2 linked regions of the Astyanax mexicanus genome follow. The protein of the gene in region 1 interacts with the protein of each later gene in a biochemical or structural test. Links are inferred from orthologs where the notes say so. Each region holds a gene or a part of one and is shown on either strand. Other genes may lie near its edges.

Region 1 (12,743 bases):
TGTATGTTGTGGTGAGAAAATGTCTTTTCATAACTGCAAACCAGCAATGTTTTATTGAATACTATAAAAATATAAATTGAATAAATTACATTTGTGCTAGGCACCACCACAATGATGCATAAAATAGAAAGGTCTAACACATTTCACACATTATCGTTTGTTATTTTTTGTTGAGTGTTCTTATTTGTTTTCATTGCGACCCCCCAATAAATTCATTGCTTTCTCTGGTGATGACAGGTTAAGAGTTAAGTAGTCGACTGATGCTTTTACTCTGTTTTTTCAAATATCAGGACCTCACAGGACCACCACAGAGCAGGTATTATTTAGCTGATGGATCACACAGCACTGCAGTAACACTGACATGGTGTGATATGTAAGTGTATGTTGCACTGGTACAGGTGGATCCGGCACAGCAGTGCTGCTGGAGGCACTCCTACGTAGCTGGTCCATCTAGTAAATGTAAAGTCAAAGTCTGCTGCTGCATGGTTTGTGTTGGTCATTTTAAGTCTTTCATTAGTGCCCACAGGGCACCACAAACAGGAAACTGTTGGTGACACTGGCAGTGACACTGGCACATTCGCCTTCCAGCACTGGGTCTTGGGTTCAAGTCATCTGGGTGGAGTTTCCATGTTCTCTTTGTGTCTGCTTGGGTTTCCTCCGAGGGCTTCACTTTCCTCCCACAGTTCAAAAAACATGGAGAACAGGTAAACTGGCCACTCTAAAATGCCCAGAAAAATTGGAAACTCTACATTTGCCCTGGTGTTGTGAGTGTTTTAGTGTATGTAGGTGTAAGTATGCAAGAATGTGTGTATGACTGTATGCCCAGATATGGATTAGCACTCTGTGCTGGGTCAGCTCCTCAATGCCCGATGCAGTCTTCCAGATGGACAGTCGTTTCCGGTTGAGAGCATGCTGTGTAAAAGGGAAACTGCCATACTTCAGTTCATCCAGGTTGAAAAATGCAAGATTCTTGCACACAAACACAGTCACACACAAAACACTGAGGGCTGGTGTGAGTGATCACTCAGCAAGGGGGATACATTACCCTACAAACAGTAGCCCTCAGATCACATTCTCAACCTCACAAGGAGAATGGTGTGACTATTGGCCCCCGCTAAGAACACACACACAAAAAGGGAGAACCAATGTATGTTCTCTGAGACAAAAAGTGCTTTACACTTGCCACATTTGATACAGGTGATAATTGCTTCAGAGCATTTGCAAAGTGTATCAACATTCATCACCCTGGTTCGACCTTTCTCAAGAGTTCTAAAGTTCAAGCTTTTTCTTCTCTGCTGCATTACTCAGAGAGTAATACACTCTTGCTATTTCAATATCAGATATGGATTCGTAGGTTCAGAAAACACTTTTAGAGTGAGAGATGTGTTTGTTTTTTACTATTGTACATTGCTGTTAATTATTAAAAAAGTTGGTGTGTTTATGTCAGTGTTATGAACAGGTGGCCAGCTGGTACTTGCCTGATCAAACTTGCCCAGGTTAGCTGACATCAAGCTGACTAGCTGTCCTGTGCTGATCTTGTCCAAAACTCGACTGGACAGCTTCAGCGTCTGGGGTAAAGAGGAAGAAAAATCTTAATTGACAAAGATAAACACAAATGGAAATCTACATCTGACAACACTCAGCAATAAATTTTGCAACTCATCCTTACTCACTACAAAGAAATTAGGACAAGAGAGGACAAGAATAGCTGGCAGCTCACCTTTTTGTAGATTAAGCTAAAGAGGGCGATGCGGATCTGCATGCCCACGTGGTGCAGCCCAAACATGGCTGGCTGCAGTAGTAGGAAGCGAGCAATAAAGAGAAGGCCCAGGCCGAAGGCCAGGAAGTAGCCCTGCTCTCGTTCTGGCTCGTGGAAGGGGTCGAATGAAGCAATTATTCGTCCCAGGAGCTGAGGCTGTACAGATTTTGTGGCTTCCTGCACAAAGAATACGCAAAGGTGAATTGGCTTTTTGTTGTATTGTAGTAAACCGATTCTAACACAATGCTTTTGCTTTTAATTACACTCTCCATTTATAGTGGAGAGTCACGCAATTCATGCTACGAGAGCACACTTATTAGACAGCAATTCATGTGCATTTGTTGACAAGCTGAGGGATATAGAAACAATGTCTGAAGCGAAACAAGCATGCTGACTGACAAGGTTAGGGTAATGTTACAGGACACCACATTTCCTGCTCAATGTTTGTTCAAGTACTGAATCTTCAACCTGTACCTCGACTGTGGGCATGACACACTTGTTAAGGAAGCCCCATATCAACTGCTCGGCTCATTTACATAAAGTTGATTGGACATAAAGTTGACATATAGCACATGTACTGAGCTAAAATATTTACTGTTAATTTTAAATGCATTGTGGGAGATTTTTAAAATCCACTTTACCATACACTATAAAATAAAAATATAAAAAAGTGTACTTAATTGTGTACTGAATAAATATATAAAATAGAGGAGAGCAGCATGTCTATCTAAACTGGTTAACCAAACTACACACACACACAGTTAATATGTGATCAGCAGTGGGCAGCAACCTGGTACTGCACTTTTACACAGAATGTGGCATTTACCAAGAACAATAAGAACAGGACAGTCACTCCTTCGGTGTTTACATAAAAGGAAGGAGCTATTCCTCTAAGCGGAGGACACAGCAAAAGTCACACTACACTGCAAACTGCTCTAAGAACCACCCAACTACATTGCTGTAATACCAGAGAGCCAGCAATAGCTGACCACAAGCTAACACGCAATACATTTCTCACTGATTTGGCTTATTTTGCTTGTTCATGCAGAAACAGCTCCTTGTTGCCACATGCAGAAGTCTTTGAATGCCAGAGAGTCTGAGAATGATAGAGAGAGACACACAGCTACAGAGACTTACCCCCAAATAGAGGAGAACTCCAAAGAACAGAAAGGGCCGAATAAAGCATCGGGAAAGTGCTCGGAGGAGACTGGGCTTCTTCTTCGCGGAGATAACTTCTCTGTCCCATTCCCTGTGCATAAGGAAAAAAAGAAAGTTCAAAAGAAACAGTTAAACACCCCTCCACATCCTCCCAGCCACTGTAAAGAAGCCATGGCCCACATTGTTCAGGAGACTCGTGAATAACCAGGGTGATTTAGAGAACTTATTAAATGGGCCAAAGAGACCCTGACAGGTTGAGAGGGAAACTGCTCCAAGCTTTTAATTGTATAAAAAGTTCAAATTCCCAGAAAACCAGCATGTTTGAGGACTAAAAATACTGCCAACTATCCATCACTCACCAGGGGCCTGGCACTTTAAAAGGTCGTGTTTGATGCCTGTTAAAGGGGCACTGGCACCCCAACCCAAGAAAATGCATAGTGGGTGGTGTGAAACATGGCATGTTAGGGCTTTTACTGGAAGGAGCAAGGCAGCATTTACTTACAACACAAAACATCTAACACTCTGACTCAAAGGTGTGACGGTGTTTAGGCCAGCTTAAGTAACAGGACCTTTGAAACCTCTGGAAGCTGCAACAGGAGCAGGGACAACACATCCTGTGGCTGTAAATAGGGTTGTGTTATGAAATAAAATTTCATGTTTAATGTTAACAGAGTCACTCTCTGTTCATCACTGAATGAAGGAGTACTGGGGGAAATTGGGGATAACTAACATTAAACAATAAAACAATAGAAGACTATGAGCCTGGCATCAAGCAATAAAACAATATCTTATCTCCACAGCAGCAAACTTATAATCTCATTCATTATGAGCATGCAAGGATGAGTAGGAGACACAAACTTCTCAAGCCGTTCTGCAAGTACATCAGCTGTGTCTTGTGATGCCGTTTGATACACATCTGTTGGCCTCAGTTTCTCCCTGAAACCCTTTCGCATAATAGGGTTTGTCCACCTGCAAAAGGTCAGAACAAATAAACGTCAGTCAAATTGTTTTTGGGTGTTTCGATGTCAGTGTGTCTATAAAGTGTCTATAAAAGTGATGCTACAAACCTGCAAAAGTGTTTAAAGTGTAACACTGCTTTTAGTAACACTGTAGCTAAGAGACACATGCAGTAATTAGCTGTTCAGTTCAGTGTTTTCCTTATATTGTTGTTGTTGTTGTGTTGATCTCCAAAACAGAAAAAACTCAAACATATCTTAACTATAACTTTCAGATACAAGATACAAGGTTCTTGCATAACAATGTATTTGACTGTTGTCACACAATTTCTATTTTTATTTTGTGGTGTTACTGGCATTTTTATATTTTAATTTTCTGAATTTTTTCTGAATTGGAACAAAACCTATTTACATGTAGTCTTCCACTAAAAAATCTTATTTTTCCTTCTCCTAAAGCTGCAATTTTGAAATGAATTTGTTCTTACATGGCTTCATTTGTTAAAACGTGGTAGATATAGGGGGTGTTCAAACAAATGCTTTTCTATGGCTAAATCTTAAAAAATATCAGTTTAAAAAAATACAAATGTGAGGTTTATTTCCAGCTAATGGTTACTTATATTATAGATCAATCTGTTGATTTATTGTTTGGTTTTTACACTCTAAAAATGGTTAGATGCATTTTTTCCAATACTGGTAATAAGCAAATGTACACAGTTTGATTATTTATTTTATACTCATTATATTGCTGCAAATGTACTCTTAAATCTAAATCTGCCAGGGATCAAATTTTATTTAAAAAAATCAAATTAAATATAATCAATATTTATTATAATAAAATTATAATACAATCGAATATCTAATCTTAAAATATTTTCTTTAGCTACATCTTAAGTAATTAACATTTTAGTAATTAACATATTATTATTATTATTTTAAACAGAGGCATAGTGTGGAATCTGTGGTTAGCTAAAGATGCTTTAAGTTATCTAGCGATTTATGTGAGCTAGCTAAATTAGTTACTATTTTCGTTTATTTTGTATTTTTAGAAAAGTATATTTTAAGCAAACACTGTTTGACTGAAGTAGCACTACTTTTATCTTAAGATATTGAGCTGAAAAGCGAGTCTGGAGAGTTGCTGAGGCTCTGTTCTGCTTTCTGTGAGTGGCTGAAGACTTTGATGCTTAATTTATTACTAAAATAGTTAAAATTTAGTTAAATAAAATATTTGTCATATATTTGATTGTCATTTTATTATAAATATATATACAGCTCTAGAAAAAAATAAGAGACCGCTTAAATAGTGAGTTTCTTTGATTTAAGCAAATTGAAAAGGAAAATGGATGATCACGATCCATCAAACCAAGCTGAACTGCTAGATTTTTTGCTCCAGGAGTGGCATTACGTTATCCAAAAGCAGTGTGTAAGACGAGTGGTGGAGGAGAACGTGCCAAGATGCATAAAAATTGTAATTAAAAATCAGGGTTATTCCACCAAATACTTTTTGCATTATTTGAGGTCTGAAAGCTCTGCATCTTTTTTATTTCAGCCAATTCTTATTTTCTGCAAATAAATTCTCTAAATGACAATTGTTTTATTTGGAATTTGGGGGAAACATTGTCCGTAGTTTATAGAATAAAACAACAATGTTCATGTTACGCAAACATGTACCTATGAATAGCAAAATAAGAGATTTTGAGGTGAAACTGAAGTGGTCTCTTTAATTTCTTCCAGAGCTTTATATCTATATAAACCCTATATGATACTGCGAGAGCAGCTATAGCCTCTTTCTCTCAGTATGTCTTCACTTCACCTTTTGTAAATGAGTTTATATTCAGTGCGTGGAATATTCTAGCAGCTCCTTACCAGAAGAAGTATCTGGAGAGGAAACTGGCCTCATCCACAGGTGACTTGTTCATGCTCGCCGAGCCCGGGCGCGGGAAGCAGCTCTCCGCTCACATCTGCTGTCCCTTCAATAGGGCTGCTGTCCTCCACACACACTCACACTCATACACTTAAGGGGTAAGGGGTTCTCCGTATTTCTCCCCGTTAAGAAACCCCCCCTTCCCCACACCGTCTCACAGCGCTGTCCGTGTACTTGGTGTGTGCGCGTGGACGTCGCGAGCCCCCCCGTGATCCGCGCGCGAGCAGCACCGCACTCTGTCCGCGCTGCACTGCGCGAGCTCCCCTGTGGGCACGCCGCTCTCGCGCGCTCTGCCTTTTAAACACAATCAGCTCACGTGCGGCGCGGCGAGGAGACACGATATCCAAACACACAAACAGGCGCGCGGAGGCGGAGGAGGAGATCTGCGCGAGACTCGGTCATTCAGAGCCCACAGTCACCACATATTCACACCACTGTACCTAACTCACACTCAGTGCAGGAAGCGCCCTGCACTCATTCCCCACATACAGACATCATCAACACCGACATTAACCGACACATGGATTTCCTTATACTGACTGACCGGTTTAGCTCTTTTCCAGTACAGGTCGTTTGAGTTTGGTGGTTTATCTATTAGCGTGATCAACCTGACCACGCTACAGTGGCTTGCAAAAGTATTTATACTCCTTTATTTTTTATATTTTGTCACCTTAAAACCAACGTATTTAATGTATTTTACTGAGATGTTAAATGAGAGAGCAACACAAAGTAGCACATAATTGTGAAGTGGGACAGAAATGCTAAAAAACAGCAAAAGCAAGCCGCCTGGCCTTTTTCCCCCTGCTTGACCTGAGCATGTACTTCAAACCAGCTGTTTGCTCTCCAATTGAGCAAAAGATGCTCCACATATAAACTGCTAACACATTTACTTCCTTAGTAAAGCTACGAGTCGTCTCTCAAATATGATATTTATTGTTGTTTGGGAAGAAGGCTACCTTTATACATGTATTAATGTGCGCATGTGAGGCGTTTCAGAAATAGATTCGTTCACATTACACACAAATACGGGTCAATTACATTTGTTACAATGAACCGCCAAATCCAATCTAAGCAAAAAATCGTATTTGAGCAATGTAGCTTGTAATGTGAACGTAGCTTTAATTATTTAATAACTGTGTGTAATCTTTTCTCAGTATAAATACACCTGTCCATCATTTAAAAATGGAGAAGTATACTACAACTGCAGTCCCACCAAGACATGGTCGTCCACCCAATCTGACAGATCAAGCAAGGAGAGCACTGGTCTGAGAAGCAGACAAAAAACCTGTAGTCACTCTGGAGGAGCTGCAGAAATCCACAGCTGAGCTGGGAGAATCTGTCAACAAGACAACTATAAGTCGTGTACTCCACAAATCTGGCCTTTACGGGAGAGTGGCAAGAAGAAAACTATTGTTGAAGGAAAGACATAAGAAGTGACGTTTGCAGTTGTGAAAAAGTGACAAAAATGATAAAAAGTTAAAGAGGTCTGAATATTTTTGCAAGCCACCATAGTTGACCAGCATTAACAACTTTCCTCGACAAAGGAGGAAGATAAGTCTGGCAAGTTGGTTGACCAGCAGGACCAACATGACCAATGTGGTTGACCTGCATGAAAAATGTGGTTGACTAGCATAATCAATATGATCAGCATTGACCAGCATGACCAGGTTGGCTGAGTAGAATGAAAAGCTTGTTGACAAATTTGATCAGCATAACGTGGTGGTCAAACCGCCTAAATAAGCTGATTGGCAACATGATCAGTGTGGTTGACCAGCTTGACCAGAATGGCTAAGGTGGTTGAATAGTCTTAGCCTTACCTGGTTGACCAAACTGCTTGACCAGCATTGCCACGGTGGTTGACTTGCATGACCACGATGGTTGACCAGTATGGCGAAAATGGTTGATCAAGCTTGTTGACCATCATGACCAGGTTAGTTGACCAATGGTTTTCAATGCTGGTGAACTATTGTATAACCAAAGTAGTTGACCAGCATGGCCAAGCTAGTTAAGTATGACTTGAATGAATAGCATGACCAGCCCAACCACACTGGTCAACCTAGCTGACCAGCTTGTCCATCAAACATAAACATTAATAACATTCTGTCCTTATAGTTGCACCTGTCAAGAGGTGGGAACAATAAAAAGTAAATAAGGATATCTCTATATCTCCTGACATAGTTTCCAATCGGAAGAAAAGGAAGAGTGCAACATGTCTCTCCTGCTGCTCAAACAGGACTCCTGCGATAAACACCTCAGTAATCTCACATATCTCCCATCAAGTGACAAAGGCAAAAGTTTCAAAATGAACTACAGCATTTCTTATTCAGGACTAAGGGCCTTTTAAACTTTGCCATTGTGAATTACTATTGTATTTCACTACTGTTTTTGAATTCACTCTGTATTTGAATACAATAGCTATAGTACAATATCTTTGATCTGGAAGCCAAGGTAATCAAACCACATAAACATTAAGAGAAAAAACAGTTAACGGTTGAAGGTAAATAAGAAAGAGGGTAAGCAGCAACAAGAAAAGGAAGAGGATAGGAAATTCTGGATAAATTCTGCTCATATGAATTTTTTACTACTCAAAACTAGTTCTGATAAACACAAAGGGAAACTAATTGCTGAAGCTATTGGTGCAGTAGTTATGCTGGGTGAGACTGACAGCCCACTACTAATGCCACATTTGTAATCACAACATTTGAACAATAAGTTTCGCCTTGGATTTCATATTAAACCACTATGAATGACTTTCAAGTTCACACCTCAACAAATTAACTAAACCTGGTGGAATTTCCCTTTAATGAATCATAGCGCAGCACAATAACAAATGAACAAAGGATTTACTGCAAAACTAGTGAGCAATACCTAAATAACTGAATCATTGACTCCCCCTATAGATTGAGACAACAGGAATGAAACAGTTGTATTTACAGTTTCAGTATAAGCAAGAACTGTTTTTTTCAGTATAAGCAGAAGTGAATATTGGCAGCACAAAATTCAATGCATGTTAACTTCTAAATGTAAATATACTTCTTTTAATTACTATAAAATGTTTTTTGTTCTCTTTTTTTAAAAATTAAAACACATATGAAAATACACCAGATCTGAGAAGAATGTCTGGTAAAGAATGTCTGTTTGGCTGACATTTACACTGACATGCCAAAAGGCATTACCACACATGGTGAACGGCGTTGTGGGTAGTAAGGATCGTGACTGGAAGCCAAAATTGTTTGTGCAAACAAACAAGAAACTGTCAGAAATCATGTCCCCATTCAACACAGGAGGCCCCAAGCAAGCATAATCTGCAGGTCAGTGAACCATTCTTTAGCTTCCATTAGACACAATACTAGTTTCTGTCCCATTACTTTTGGAATGTCAGTATTTTTTCTGGTAAACCATACCCTAACTGTACCATTTCTGCCATCGTCTAGCAGAGGAAGTATCAGTTACCCACTGCAGGAGGATCAGGAGTCAGACAAATATATATCATTTACCTGCAATTAACAGAATGCCTTGTCCTGTTTTGTCAAGATTTACCACCCTTAGGAACAGTTTATTAAAACCTAAGGGTAACTAAACCCACATTAAATAAGTAATGCAACACTGCCCCAACACTGACTTTTTTAAACATTTGTAATTATTTTACACAGCTCTAAATGCACTATTTATTGTATTGACTTACACACATTTTAAATCAAGAACAAAAGACTAAAATGTAGCATGTCCTTGTGAGCATAAAACCCCCAAAATTAAATAGGATGCATCCACCAGCTGAGAGGAAACTGGTTTGGATGGTCAGGAACAACACAAGAACCATCAAGGGACAGGCCTACCATGAACTGGAAGCTGCTGGAACACCTGTGTCACCCTATACAGTTAAGCAGATTTTACACATTACCATAAACTGAGAGGCTTCTATCCAAGACTCAGGCCCCTGCTTCAAAAACTGTAATGTTATGCTCAACTACATTGACAAGAAAAAATACTTCAAGCAGAAAGGTTTATTGTCAGATGACACAAGGAATGGCCACAGTGACCAAAATTATATTTGGAGAGTGAGGCATTCATCCCCAAGAACAATATATAAACTGTTAGGCATGGTGGTGAAACCATCATGTTCTGTGGTGGACTGCCCCTCCCTTCTTCAGCTTAAGCTCAAACCATCAGCAAGGCCTGTTCCATTAGGACAATGACACACCAGACATGGTTGTGTAATGAATAAAGCAGTCTAACTTTAGGCTTTTTAAATTTTGGAGACTTGAAGTCATGACCTCAGACCGAAATTATGAACTGTGCATTAGAGTGGTTACATATAGGCCAAGTCATTATGTTTATATGACATATTTCAATCATGCAGAACTGACATTAATGTATCGGTTATTATCGATATAACAATCCTTTCATGTCTGCAGCATATTTGTTTAAATTTCATAAAACACTGTGCAACGGACTGTTTAGGATTAACTTGTTTTGTTTCCTTGTTGCATGTTCAGTAATTAATAATATTAATTTCACTTAATATTTCTTCCTTTGTCTGTATATTTAGCTGAGGTAGAGCTTATGCAGTCCACCCTATTGTTGTAAAATATCACGGTAATTAGAAAATCAAAATGTATCTTCAAAACATAACAAGTTTACCATAAACAGTGAAGTGTGAAGTCTTATAAATATGTAAAAAAAACTAATAATAATAATAAAAAAATTACATCTTTGAGGGCCAAAAGGCACAAAATTCTGATAGCAAAAATGTGAGCCATCGTTATTAGAATTATCAGAGAAATGGTTTGGGAGTTTATGCTGTTTGTGTGCATGAGTTTGGGCATTTAGAGCAGTCTGAGTGAATCATTTCGACCTGCTCTCAGTTGCTGACATGCTCTAGATCTGTAATGAAATTACGGATGATAAATAAGCAGTCACATGAAAACAACTGACTGTTCTCACTCAGTTCCAACTATTTAAACGTACAGAACAACAATTTTGGTTCTTTTACATACAGAACCCTTCAATGAGTCCAGGTGTGATCATCACAGGCGTGCCCTCAGCACACCCTTCATGTCATCATAAACTGCTGGTGCAATAATTTCATAATTCATTTAACAGTGTATTGTTGGCACTGAGTAATTAGCAGGTAAGACCTTCAAAGAAGGAAATGCGTTCTGCAGAAGTCATCAACTTCGAACCAATTTAGTCTGGAAGATTGTAGATACCAGGAATGCTATAAGCCAGAGGTTCCCAGTTGCAGTCATTTGGAAGTCCAATTACCCCACCCAGTCCTTAGTTTTATCCCTCACTGCTTAAAATCTGGCTTTTTTCTGGATGGCCAGCTGGTCTTGAGCAAGATTTTTTAGCAGTACTATTGCCTGTAATGCAACACTTGCACTCAGAGCAAAACCCAGAGACCCAGCTCAGAAATGTCAGATAACAGGCGATATCACCTTGGGAGTGATGTGTGGGGAGAGAGCGCCATCTACCCACCCAGAGAGAGAGCAAGGATAATTGTGCTCTCTCAGACTCTGGATGCTGATGGCAAGCAGCATTACCTGAGATTCGAACAGGCAATCCTTGGATCATAGCGGTAGCAGAAGTCCATAAAATCAATAGATTATTATACTAATCTGCTAAAACAAATAGTGTCATATTACTTCTTTTAGAGATGTCACAGAAACCAACACATTTGCATGAGTTGTGCTGCAGATTAGCTTCACCCTTTCATGCTGAAGTTATAAGAACTGTTTTTTTATTCAGGATGGATGTTTGAATATATATAATTTAAATGTATGTAAATCTAAAGGACACATTAACAAAACAAAGTGCCTAGTATATTTTTAACAAGACAACTATATTTACCATTATTGTGTTGGCTGCAGATGTCACATGGCCTCCACTTTTCCAGCAGTGAACACACACATACACACAGCGATATATGACAGGACTTAAGGGGCCTATCAGTGGCAGCTTGCCAAACCTGAGTATTGAACCTACAGCCCTGTCATTAATACCCCCTGCACTATGACTACTAAGCCACTACTGCCACAAATTTTGTGGGTTAATGAGATGGTAATCCTGACTACTTTATACTGCAAAAATTATAATAATAATAATAATAATAATAATAATAATAATAATAATAATAATAATAATAATAATAATAATAATAATAATACTGAACTATTTAATGATATACAATCTGGCAGATTTCATATTCTAAATTAGAGCAGTTTATAGCAATAATTAATTATTGTTTATTACATCATTGCTCTGTGATCTGGAGCACATTTGGATAAGGCATTTGAGTGAGATGTTTTCTTAATGCTGACTCACTCTTTCTCACCTAGAAGGCAGTGTAGTGATGAAGGTATCTGTATCTGAAACAAAAAGAAAATAAATATGACCAGATGTTCCCAAAGTCTTTACAGCCCACTGTTAGATATGAATGTTTAGCTGTGTTCAGGGTGTGAATTAAATGACAACTAGTTTTTCTTCAGGGTGTAAATGGAAACTGGAAGTGTTTTGCTTGTACTGTAATGTCTACAGCAGGGGTCACCAACATGGTGCCCGCGGGCACCAGGTAGCCCGCAAGGACCTTATGAGTAGCCCGCAGGCCTGGTCTAAAAATAGCATTTTTGTTGCTATTCTTTTTTTTTTTAAATCACAGTTGCATTGATGTAATTTTAGATTATATTACATTAATATTAGCTTAGAGATAGCCTATAGTTTATATATTATTATACAATATAATGTAATATAATATGTAATATTATATTAAAATATAATATAAAATGTAAACACTTGCAGAGATTTATAATAATAGTGTTGCCTATTGATATCTGTGTCTTCACATAGATGAATGTCATTAATTATTAATAATAACATATAATTAAAGGTAAATTGAGAAAATTTGTAATTTCACGAGTGTGTATCAAACTGGTAGCCCTTCGCATTAATT
Region 2 (13,040 bases), on another chromosome or scaffold:
ACTCTGTTATTATACTCTGTTATTATACTCTGTTAATATACTCTGTTAATATACTCTGTTAATATACTCTGTTATTATACTCTGTTATTATACTCTGTTAATATACTCTGTTAATATACTCTGTTATTATACTCTGTTAATATACTCTGTTAATATACTCTGTTAATATACTCTGTTATTATACTCTGTTATTATACTCTGTTAATATACTCTGTTAATATACTCTGTTATTATACTCTGTTATTATACTCTGTTAATATACTCTGTTAATATACTCTGTTATTATACTCTGTTAATATACTCTGTTATTATACTCTGTTATTATACTCTGTTATTATACTCTGTTATTATACTCTGTTATTATACTCTGTTAATATACTCTGTTAATATACTCTGTTAATATACTCTGTTATTATACTCTGTTATTATACTCTGTTAATATACTCTGTTAATATACTCTGTTAATATACTCTGTTATTATACTCTGTTATTATACTCTGTTAATATACTCTGTTATTATACTCTGTTAATATACTCTGTTAATATACTCTGTTATTATACTCTGTTAATATACTCTGTTAATATACTCTGTTAATATACTCTGTTAATATACTCTGTTATTATACTCTGTTAATATACTCTGTTAATATACTCTGTTAATATACTCTGTTATTATACTCTGTTATTATACTCTGTTAATATACTCTGTTATTATACTCTGTTATTATACTCTGTTAATATACTCTGTTAATATACTCTGTTATTATACTCTGTTAATATACTCTGTTAATATACGCTGTTATTATACTCTGTTAAAAAACAAAACTTACTGTTCATGCGAATGCATATAAGCAACATCTGTCTGCATATAGAGATGCTGTTAGTGCTGCTAAGACAACCTACTTTTCTGACCTCATTAACAGTCAGCATAGAACAAACTCTCGGCACCTCTTCTCAACAGTTGATAAGCTATTTAAAAGTCCAGACAGCACTCTTGTACCCTCTCCAGCCCTTTGTAACACTTTCCTACACTTCTTCGACTCCAAAATAGCAAATATTCATAGATCCCTGATCTCTGCTTCTTCTGGACCCCCCTCTCACTCCTCTCATACTACCAACCTCTCTCATTTTAACATTTCTTCCGCCTCTCTTGCTGCCTTTAACAGTATTGACTCTTCCTTTATCGCTAATATTGTAATGTCTTCTAAGACCACAACCTGTGCTCTAGATCCACTCCCCACCAACTTAACTAAAGCCTGCGTACCTGCCTTGCTCCCCCACCTCACTGTTCTCATCAATCAATCACTTCTCCTTGGTCAGGTTCCATCTGTTTACAAAACGGCTGCAGTCACTCCTATACTAAAGAAACCTGGTCTCGACCCTTCTGACCTCAACAACTATCGCCCTATTTCCAATCTCCCCTTCCTGTCTAAAGTCCTTGAAAGAACTGTGGCCTGCCAATTGCAACATTATCTTGAATCACAAAACCTATTTGAACCCTTTCAATCTGGTTTCCGACCCTTCCACAGTACTGAAACGGCATTGGTCAAGGTTATTAACGATTTACTGGTAGCTGCTGATGCTGGTGCTCTAAACATTCTTTTGCTTCTAGATTTAAGTGCTGCATTTGACACAATTAACCACTCTATCCTTCTATCTCGACTCTGTGAACTTGGCATCGTTGGCACTGCCCTGGACTGGTTCTCATCTTACCTAACTGACAGAAAACAATTTATTTCATTGGCTGGCTATTCCTCCCATACCTCTGTGATTAAACACGGAGTACCACAAGGATCAGTCCTTGGACCTCTCCTGTTCATCATCTATATCCTTCCTCTTGGGCCTCTGTTGCGTCACTTTAACCTAGACTTCCACTGTTATGCGGACGACACCCAAATTTATCTTAGCACTAGTTCTATCAATAACCCACCCACTACTCATTTAGAAAGCTGTCTCTCTGCGATCCAGAACTGGATGAAGGACAATTTTCTCATGCTAAACAGTAATAAGACCGAGCTCATCCTAATCAGCACTAAAGCAGTCCTCAATCAAACTCCTACTCTCTCTCTCAACTTTGGCGGTACAGTAATCTCTCCCTCTACCCAAGTCCGAAATTTGGGCGTTCTTCTAGATTCCACTCTCTCTTTTACAGCTCACATCAACTCTGTGGTGAAAACTGCATTCTTTCATCTGCGCAGAATAGCTAAAATTCGACGATCCCTTACTCAGTCCACTGCTGAAATACTCCTTCATGCTTTTATTTCCAGCAGACTAGATTACTGTAACTCCTTGCTTGCTGGCATTAGTTCTTCCTCTATCCATAAACTCCAGATGGTACAAAACGCAGCTGCCCGTTTACTCACTCACACTCGCACCCATGAACACATTACACCTGTTCTCCAAAATCTTCACTGGCTCCCTGTTAAATACAGGATTCAATTCAAGATTCTCTTACTTACCTATAAGGCATTAAATAATCTTGCACCTCCTTATCTGTCAAACCTCCTTCTTCCTTACAGACCATCTCGATCCCTTAGGTCTGCTACTGCTGGACTTCTTAAAGTCCCAGCCTCTAAACTCCGTGGCTTTGGTGATCGGGCTTTTTCCAGACTTGCTCCTCAACTATGGAATTCTCTCCCATCTGTGGTCAAACAATCCTCCTCTCTTTCCTTGTTCAAATCTACACTCAAGACTCACCTCTTTTCTCTTGCCTACGGCCTTCCCTCTGTTTAATGTACTATACCACTTATCCCTGCTGTCTGTTCTCGTACTATGTTGATTGTCTGTCACCACTTGTTGTGTAATGTTTCTATTTGTTTTCACAAATGATGACTGTAAGCGTCTTTGGGTTTTAGAAAAGCGCTATATAAAAATAAAGTATTATTATATTATTATTATTATTAATATACTCTGTTAATATACTCTGTTATTATACTCTGTTATTATACTCTGTTAATATACTCTGTTAATATACTCTGTTATTATACTCTGTTATTATACTCTGTTATTATACTCTGTTATTATACTCTGTTATTATACTCTGTTAATATACTCTGTTAATATACTCTGTTAATATACTCTGTTATTATACTCTGTTATTACTCTGTTATTATACTCTGTTAATATACTCTGTTATTATACTCTGTTATTATACTCTGTTATTATACTCTGTTAATATACTCTGTTAATATACTCTGTTATTATACTCTGCTTTTATACTCTGTTATTATACTCTGTTAATATACTCTGTTAATATACTCTGTTATTATACTCTGTTATTATACTCTGTTAATATACTCTGTTAATATACTCTGTTATTATACTCTGTTATTACTCTGTTATTATACTCTGTTATTATACTCTGTTATTACTCTGTTATTATACTCTGTTAATATACTCTGTTAATATACTCTGTTATTATACTCTGTTATTACTCTGTTATTATACTCTGTTAATATACTCTGTTAATATACTCTGTTATTATACTCTGTTGTTATACTCAGGTGTAAGGAAAATTTATACTGGACACACAAACTAATAAACAGGTCTTCAGCACTTAATTCATTCTTTTCTATTTTTGCCTGGTTTAAAAATTAACAATATTTTAAGGTTACCCGTAACCATGGTAAATTTCCATGACCCATTTACTCATTTACTTTAAGAAAACTCTCCTTTACACTCTTTACACAATGTGCATTAAATGCTTCTTTGAGTAATGCCACATACGAACAGCTTTTAATTCTTTATAAATGTAATAAACATGTTATTAAAATTAAATAAGCTTTTAAAAGGTCCTTTAAATAAAGAACCTTTATTTGATGTAAATATTTCTTCATAATCTCTATCAAAATCACGGTTCAATGGAAAAACAAAAATATATATGATTGTTTTATAGTATAGTTTAGTTCTCATCATTTTTGAGATTGTATCTGATTGTATTTGGTGTATAAAAGGACACAGCAAATAGTGACTAAATGATAATATCAGAAAAAAACATTGGAAAAAAAATACTAAATCATTTGATAATCATAATGCAGATTAGCATTACAAAGTATTTTAAAGTACACATTTTTATTAAATGGCAGAAATGTGAAAATAAAATATATATCTCTGTTATCCTGAGATCATGTGTGAACACTCAGTTTAGAGTAAACAGAATCCACACGTTAACATTAGCTCAGCCTAAACACAAATACTGTGCAATATCATATCACAAATTTCCTTGATGGACTGAATTTTATATATTTTATATAAGTTTTTAAAGATATACAGTACCAAACTGAAGAACAAAAAGCTGATACAATTTTTAAAGCTCTAAATAATTTAAAAATAACTTTATTAGAAACATTATTCTTTAGGAAATCAATGTGTATTTACTCAATGTATATTTCTAATCATCTCATTACCATAATACAGATAAGCATACAATAAAAATATACAGCTCTGGAAAATAAAAAATAAGAATTATCAAATTGAAAATCTCTGGAATATAATCAAGAGGAAGATTGATGACCACAAGCCATTAACAAACACTGTGCAATATCATATCACAATTTTCCTTGATAGACGGAATTTTATATGTTTTATAAAGTTATATAAGTTTTTTTAATTATGCCAAACTAAATATAAAACCTACAGTTTACTTCTAACACAAAAATATGAGCTAGTACTATTTTTAAAGCTCTAGATAATCTAAAAAAAATAACTTTATTAGAAACATGGTTCTTCAGGAAATCAAAATATATTCTTTTATGGCATTACTCAATGTGTATTTCTGATCATCTCATTACCATAATACAGATAAGCATACAATAACGAAATCTACAGCGCTTATAAATGATGAGTTTCTTTGATTTTACCAAATTAAAACCTCTGGAATATAATCAAGAGGAAGATGGATGATCACAAACCATCAAACCACCAAACTGAACTGCTTGAATTTTTGCACCAGGAGTAAAGCAGCATAAAGTTATCCAAAAGCAGTGTGTAAGACTGGTGGAGGAGGAGAACATGCCAAGAGTCTATTCCACCAAATATTGATTATTTCTGAACTCTTAAAACTTTATGAATATGAACTTGTTTTCTTTGCATTATTTGAGGTCTGAAAGCTCTGCATCTTTTTTGTTATTTCAGTCATTTCTCATTTTCTGTAAATAAATGCTCTAAATGAGAATATTTTTATTTGTAATTTGGGAGAAATGTTGTCTGTAGTTTATAGAATAAAACAACAATGTTCATTTTACTCAAACATAAACCTATAAATAGCAAAATCAGAGAAACTGATTCAGAAACTGAAGTGCTCTCTTCATTTTATTTGCAGTGATTTTAAACACTGGTCTTGTATTGATGATAGAAATGATCCAGATCAGACTGGCTGTAGGTAGGTAAGAGCTCAGGTTACCTGTGGTGTATCTCATGGTGCTGCTTGTCTGGATCCTGGTGGGTGTAATGGGCAGGAGACAGCGAGGAGGTTCAAGGTGCAAACTGAACCACCGAACAGTTCAGTCCTCTGGACTCCTCCTTTCTGCTCCACACTGAGTTTAATGTGTAAGCTAAGGTTTATGAGACTATAGCCCAAACAACAGACCCAGCTTATATTACATAACATCATCTAACAGAGGGTCAAACCTCAAGAACCAAACAGAACATATTTATCACTTAAAGAGACATTCTGGAGAAAATAAAAGCACACTGATTTAACCCTCCTACCACATGACTGACCATTTATTAGCCAAGCTAATAAATAATACATAACCAAGAAAAATTTATCAGTACCAGAATTGATTAAGATTAGCTGACACAACAACAATCCCCAGTGTTTGTAGTGTTATATACTAGTGAATCTCAAAAAATTAAGAGTATTATTAAAATGTTACTTTATTTCAGTAATTTAGTTTAAAATGTGAAACTCGTATATTATATACAGCTCTGGAAAAAATTAAGGGACCACTACAGTTTCTCTGATTTTGCTCTTTATAGGTTTATGTTTGAGTAAAATGAACATTGTTGTTTTATTCTATAAACTACAGACAACATTTCTCCCAAATTCCAAATAAAAATATTCTCATTTAGAGCATTTATTTACAGAAAATGAGAAATGACTGTTTTAAGAGTTTAGAAATTAACATTTGGTGGAATAATCCTGATTTTTAATCACAGTTTTTAATCATGCATCTTGGCATCATGTTCTCCTCCACCAGTCTTACACACTGCTTTTGGATAACTTTATGCTGCTTTACTCCTGGTGCAAAAATTCAAGCAGTTCAGTTTGGTGGTTTGATGGCTTGTCATCATCCATCTTCCTCTTGATTATATTCCAATGTGCCAAGTCCTGCTTGAAAATGAAATCTGCATTGGCTGTAAGCCATAATCATCAACAATAAAAGAAATAAACACTTAAAATAGATCATTCTTTGTATAATGCATCTATATAATATATGATATATTGATATATATGAATATATTTCACATTTTAATTATTGAAATAAAGTAGTTTTTCAATGATATTCTAATTTTTTGAGATGCACTAGTAGGCTGAAATGGCGAATGTCATGAGACAGGAAGTAGAATCATGTCCCGTGACTTTCACCAATGACTTGTGGAGTCTTTTGTATGTTTGCATGAACAATTCAGGCCAGATGCCACCAGTCATGATCATTACCATTTACTCACCTGGAATACTGTGGATTGAGGAATATTAAATCAGCTCTGAGATTATTTACATTGCCTCGCTACTACTTTTACCTCAATCACAAGATAACACCTCAACACTTATACTTCTGTTGGCATTCCCAAGCTGTCCTTTGTGGTAACACTTCATGATCAGTTTACATACTGTTATCCCAACACTGTAAAATCCTTTTAAGTACCTGGGTAAGTAGAAGTTCAACATAGTAAAATAAAAAGCATTGTTTTGCATGAAATAAAAGACTCAGACAAACATTTACTCATTTAATCAGTTTTGTTTAATTTATTCATTTTAGATTTATTTGCTTTAATCCATATTTAAAAAAAATAATAATGCTCTTTTTTCAACCGTAGTTAAAGGCACAGGATTTAGGATCGGACACAATTCCAAACTCATAAAATACACCTTGCAGGTTAGTAGTACCATTTGAGGATTATTAGATAAGATAATTTTATGTTATGAATTATTAAATAATTCATAACTGTAACAGTAACATTATCTCAACTGAATACAAAGCTAAAACATGCTCTGGTCAGTATGGCTAGTGTGGTGTATTAGGAAGCACATCATCAATATCACACAGATACCCTGCATACCCAAGATTGTAACTTTACAGGTGAAAAAACAAGCGTCTAAACTGATGATACACTACATTGCAAAAGGTATCCGCTCACCTGCATTACTGTGTTTGGTGATTTAAGGTTTGGATGGAGCTGCTTGACTGTAGAAACTCTCAATTCCATGAAGCTCTTTACGCTCTTCTCGAGCTGATCTTAAGGCCACAAGAAGTTTGAAGGTCTACCATATTTTTTACACTATAAGATGCAACTAAAATCCTTTAATTTTCCCAAAAATTGTCAGTGTGTTTTATAATCTGGTGCTTCTTATGTATGAATTCTACCAGTCAGGTATTAAGGATACAGGAGTTTCAGTTTAGTTCTCCAGCAGTATTAGCATTAGCCGCTAACCGTGCTAAGTGCTAGCTCTTTCACCATTCAGAGGTGAGTATTATTGACCAGTAGCCTGCTGCTAACCCTGACTAGCACTGCTGGAGCAGCATTAGCATTACCCTCTAGTTGTTAGCTGCTAAAGCTAATGCTAATGCTCCAGCTTCAGTGGAAATCTGGAAACCTAAGTTTGCTGTAAATAAACGAAAGAGCTTCTCTCACCCAAATAAACATTTTTCAGGAGAGAAATCTTTGTAGATTAACATCCAGAACATAAGAATTACAGTTTTGTTTACTTAGTTTAGCTTTACAGGTCGCCACCCAGCGGCAAGACCTGCTGAGTTAGAAAAGAAACATGGCGACACCCCTGTTCCTTACTAGGGTCGCATAAAAGACCCCTTATAAATCTGGTGCGAATTATAGAGCGAAAAATATGGTATATTGATTTACTGATTGATTGGTAACCACTGACAGTTGACTAATGCTACAGGATCAAGTAGAAAACCTTCTCTCCCTGGACTGTAGAGACAGTTACTCCAACAAAAGCAGGATTTACTCTTTTTAATACCCTGAAAAACTATTAATAAGCAGATTCTTCAATCCTTTTGTCCATATTGTGCATGTTGAATACTACTTGACTTGGTTACTTGGTTGAAAGTGTCAGTCTGTGATGTGATGTTTTAAAAACACTGTTCTTGTCATCTGAACTACAATATGCTACAATATTTATGTAGTTTTCTCCATTATTATTAAATAAAAAACAATAGGAACTCCTTTTCAGAAATCATTTCTGTTATTTTGGCATAAAACAAGTTTAAGCCACCAATCAATTGTAAAATGAAATACTGTTTGTCTCTGAAGCGTAAGAAATGCTGCTTACTTAGACACGATGCTCAGACAGGAATTAAATTTCAGTCGTTTTTGCTAATGGCTAATCGTCGTAACACAGCAAAATGTTCATATAGAGCAGTGAGCTGTTGATACATTAATAGTATCAAGGCCAATGGTTGCTTTTTGATTGTGATACACACACAGCTTTATCACAACTCTAGCTAGTGAGCTAGTTAACTAGCCACTATTTATGGCATTTCACAGAAAGCCATTGCCTCCAAATTAGTTTTTTAAGGTGTCTATGAAATACAGCATCACACGAATAAAGCCTATTATCTCTCCAACATGAATAAATGCAAACTATTACCATAAAGGAAGACCTGATTTCAACAGCATAGTCCTTTCCCTTATACCCTATTTTCCGCACTATAAGCTGCACTTAAAATCCTTTCTTTTTCCCGAAAATCGACAGTCTGCCTTATAATCCGGTGCTCCTTATGTATGAATTCTATCAGTCAGGTATTAAGGAGCAGTAAAGCCACTCCACTGAAGTACAGAGTTATACAGGAGATTCAGTTTAGTTCTCCAGCACCAGTGGGTAGAAGTAGCATTAGAATTAGCCACTAACCGCTATTTTCTCATTAACCCCGGCTAGCACTGCTGGAGCAGCATTAGCATTGCCTGCTAACTGTGCTAAGTGCTAGCTCTTTTGCTGTTCAGAGGTGAGTATTATCGGCCAGTAGCCTGCCACTAACCGCGGCTAGCACGGTTGGAGCGCTTAGCCCCTAATGCTAATAAAGAAATTCGGGAATCTAAGCTTACTGTAAATAAACGAAAGCACTTTATTCACCCAAATCTGTGTAGATTTACATCCAGCATTTGTTTGACATTAAAAGAAAGTCTTGGTAACACTTCCTATGAACCCTGTATTCATTATGTATTATAAATGCATTTATAAAGCATTAAATGACATGCATAATACCTTATAATGACTGTAAAAAGCCTGTATAAAGTACTTACAGCGGCATTCATAACACATTATAAACTACAAGTATAAGGGTTTATAAAGAAAGGGCTTATAATGCTTTATAATATATGTTCATAAAAATGTAGTGTTGTAATGCACTTTAACACAGATTTGGTATATTTTGATATAATGCATTATAATATGCAGCTATGATTTCTCAAATTAAGCTTTTATATGCGTGTGTAACACATTATAAAGCCTTATATACAGTCATTACTGTCAAGACTTTATAGTGTGGCATAATAAAATTTACTTCACGTTTAAAAAGCATATGAAAATTCACTTCACTTAAAGCTTAATTTGAGAAATCATAGCTGCATATTATAGCTGCATCTTCATCATCACCACCATCAACACTATCAACTGGCAGACAAATCATCTCCTCCAGTCCACCAACCTTTACTGCTGACCAGGTCAGGAGACAGCTGAGGAGACTTCACCCCAGGAAGGCAGCTGGCCCGGACAGAGTGTGCCCCAGAATGCTCAAGGCTTGTGCTGTTCAACTGGGTGAGCCCTTCCAACATGTTTTTAACCTGAGTCTGCGTATAGGGAGAGTTCCTGCCACGTGGAAGACAACCTGCCTCGTTCCAGTTCCTAAGAAAGCACACCCGAAGGAGCTGAATGACTACAGGCCTGTTGCTTTGACATCTCATGTGATGAAGACCATGGAGCGACTGCTGCTGGACCAACTCAGACCTCAGGTCCACCATGCTGAGGACCCACTGCAGTTTGCGTACCGGGAAAAGGTGGGAGTGGAAGATGCCATTCTCTATCTCCTGCACAGAGCTCACTCTCATCTGGACAAGGGGGGGAGGTGCTGTGAGGGTCATGTTCTTCGACTTCTCCAGTGCCTTCAACACCATCCAGCCCCTACTACTGAGAGACAAGCTGATGGAGATGGAGGTGGATATGCACCTGGTCACCTGGATCACTGACTACCTTACTGGGAGACCACAACATGTCAGGATCAGGGACTGCTCCTCTGACACAGTGATCAGCAGCACAGGAGCACCACAGGGGACTGTTCTCTCTCCAGTCCTGTTCACACTGTACACATCAGACTTCAAATACCACTCGGAGTCATGCCACATGCAGAAGTTCTCTGACGACACTGCAATCGTGGGGTGTGTGCGTAATGATGATGAGAGGGAGTACAGAAGCCTGGTTGAGGAATTTGTGGTTTGGTGCAAGATGAACCATCTGCAGCTGAACATCTCCAAAACCAAGGAGATGTGCATAGACTTCAGGAGGTCCAGGCCCTCTGCTCAGCAGCCAATCTCCATCGAGGGGGTCGACGTGGAGGTGGTCAAATCCTACAAATACCTTGGTGTGCACCTGGACGACAGGCTGGACTGGTCAGTGAACACTGACTCCCTCTACAGGAAGGCTCAGAGCAGACTGTACTTCCTCAGAAGGCTCAGGGCTTTCAACATCTGCCAGAAACTCCTCCTGATGTTCTACCAGTCTGTGGTAGCCAGCGTCCTCTTTTACACTGTTGTGTGTTGGGGAGGCAGCATCAGCAAGAGGGATGCTGGACGACTGGACAGGCTGGTGAGGAAAGCTGGTTCTGTGTTGGGACTAGAGCTGGAGTCCTTAACACCACTGGCAGAGAGGAGAGCCCTCAGTAAGCTGCTGAACATCATGGACAATGTTCACCACCCTCTGCACAGCACCATCACCAGGCAGAGGAGCTCATTCAGCGGCAGACTGCTGTCCCAGTCCTGCTCCACAGACAGACTCCGAAAGTCTTTTGTTCCTCAGGCCATAAGACTGTTCAACTCCTCTCAGCACAGCAAACTAAAGACTCTGTGAAACTTTTTCATTCCGGCCACTCTGGCCACACCATGGACACACCCCCAGCTATGGACACACTCTCAGACTTGCTGATGCCTAGAACACTTTTTATAGTTCTACCATATTTTGCACTGCTCTGCTCCCTGCTCTGCTCCCTGCTCTGCTCCCTGCTCTGCTCCCTGCTCTGCTCCCTGCTCTGCTCTCTACTACTCTGGTCTGCTGCTGTGCTGGTTTGCTGCTGTGCTGCTCTGCTGCTGAAAGCTTGCTTTAATCTTCAGCTTCTACACTTTTCTCTGTTTTCTTCTCTTTTACTCTCTTCACACTTACTAATCCACTTTTAGTCTGCTTCCTCTTTGCTCTACACACCTATTAATCCACTCTCAGTCTACTTTTATAGACTTTTTCCTCAGGTTTGCTGGATTAGCTGTTTGCTGCTGCAGTTTGTTTGTGTAAGTTTCTAATTTCAACTGAAACAAGGTGAGTGCTTTTTTTCTCCATGGCTTCTGCTCAGGTTTACACCTGTTTAGAGTGTGGCATGTATAGCTTAGATCCCTTATCCACCGATACTGGTAACAATAGTGGTATTTGTACTAAGTGTGAGATAGTTAGCACCTTGGTGGATAAGGTGAATAAGTTAGAGCTGCACGTCCGGGGTTTAATAAGGGATAGACAGCAGGATTCACTGTTAGCAGCCCCGGGTGTCTCAGGGAGAGTTAGTACCCCCTCGACTCCGGCCTTAGAGCCCTCACAGCGGGGCGAATGGGTAACGTCTCGGCGGCATAGTCGAAAGGCTAAGGCTAATGCTACCGCAAAGGCCACAGCCAGCCCACCTAAACACCACGCTCCCCCAGTTCACGTGTCAAACAGGTTTGCCCCGCTCAGTGAAGCACCAACTGAGGAGCCTGTTAAAGGTACTCTGGTGATAGGAGACTCTATCGTCCGACACGTGAAATTAGCTACTCCTTTAGGGGCACCAGCGGCAACAGTTACTTGTTTACCGGGAGCCAGAGCACCGGACATTAGTGGCAACCTTAGGTTAGGGAATAGGAGATATTCGAGGGTAGTAATTCATGTAGGGGCCAATGATATTCGTCTGCGGCAGTCTGAAGTAACTAAGGCTAATATTAAAGAGGTGATTAAACAGGCCCAGACGCTGTCCGAGGAAGTAATCTGCTCTGGCCCCATCCCAATGAGGCGTGGTGATGAAGCTTACAGCAGGCTTTCTTCGCTGAACCGCTGGATGTCCAAGTGGTGTGCAGAAAATCATGTGGGCTTTATAGATAACTGGCTACACTTTGAGGGCAAGCCTGGTCTTTTAGGTAGGGATGGTGTCCACCCCACGCGGGAGGGTGCTGCCTTACTTTCATGCAGCATAGCTCATAGTCTTTTAGTTAGTCGGCAGAGTAGTATTAGAAGCTGCTGACAATCCAGAGCCGGGACCAGGCCGCAGACAGAGAGGCTTAACCGACCGTCTGCGAGCTGCAAAGAGACGTTACCTAGATACCAATGTATTCAGACTGTGTCTGTCCCCCGAGTCAAACAAAAACATCAAAAAACTAAAACAGTAAATCTAAATAACTTAACTTATATTAAACAATCATATCCAGACTGTAGTACTAACATTTCAAGCCTAAAGATTGGTTTACTTAATATTAGATCTCTAAATTCAAAAGCAGTTCTGGTGAATGAAATGATAACTGATCAGAAATTCGATGTTCTGTGTCTGACAGAAACCTGGATTAGGCCAAATGAA

What was found.
Region 2: the proteins of cftr (region 1) and pdzd3a form a complex in vitro, tested with the Homo sapiens proteins (2 studies listed by BioGRID and IntAct, with this or other methods). The link is inferred for Astyanax mexicanus from reciprocal best matches to the Homo sapiens genes CFTR and NHERF4.

Annotation. Positions count from the first base shown.
Region 1 is NC_064416.1:24,817,932-24,830,674, reverse strand, and holds the start of cftr (cystic fibrosis transmembrane conductance regulator), read right to left. Parts: upstream 6,404-12,743; 5' UTR 5,790-6,403; coding exon 5,737-5,789; intron 3,887-5,736; coding exon 3,776-3,886; intron 3,009-3,775; coding exon 2,897-3,008; intron 1,937-2,896; coding exon 1,721-1,936; intron 1,569-1,720; coding exon 1,479-1,568; intron 1-1,478. UniProt on the Homo sapiens protein: Epithelial ion channel that plays an important role in the regulation of epithelial ion and water transport and fluid homeostasis. Mediates the transport of chloride ions across the cell membrane.
Region 2 is NC_064425.1:971,201-984,240, reverse strand, and holds the start of pdzd3a (Na(+)/H(+) exchange regulatory cofactor NHE-RF3), read right to left. Parts: upstream 5,506-13,040; 5' UTR 5,418-5,505; coding exon 5,402-5,417; intron 1-5,401.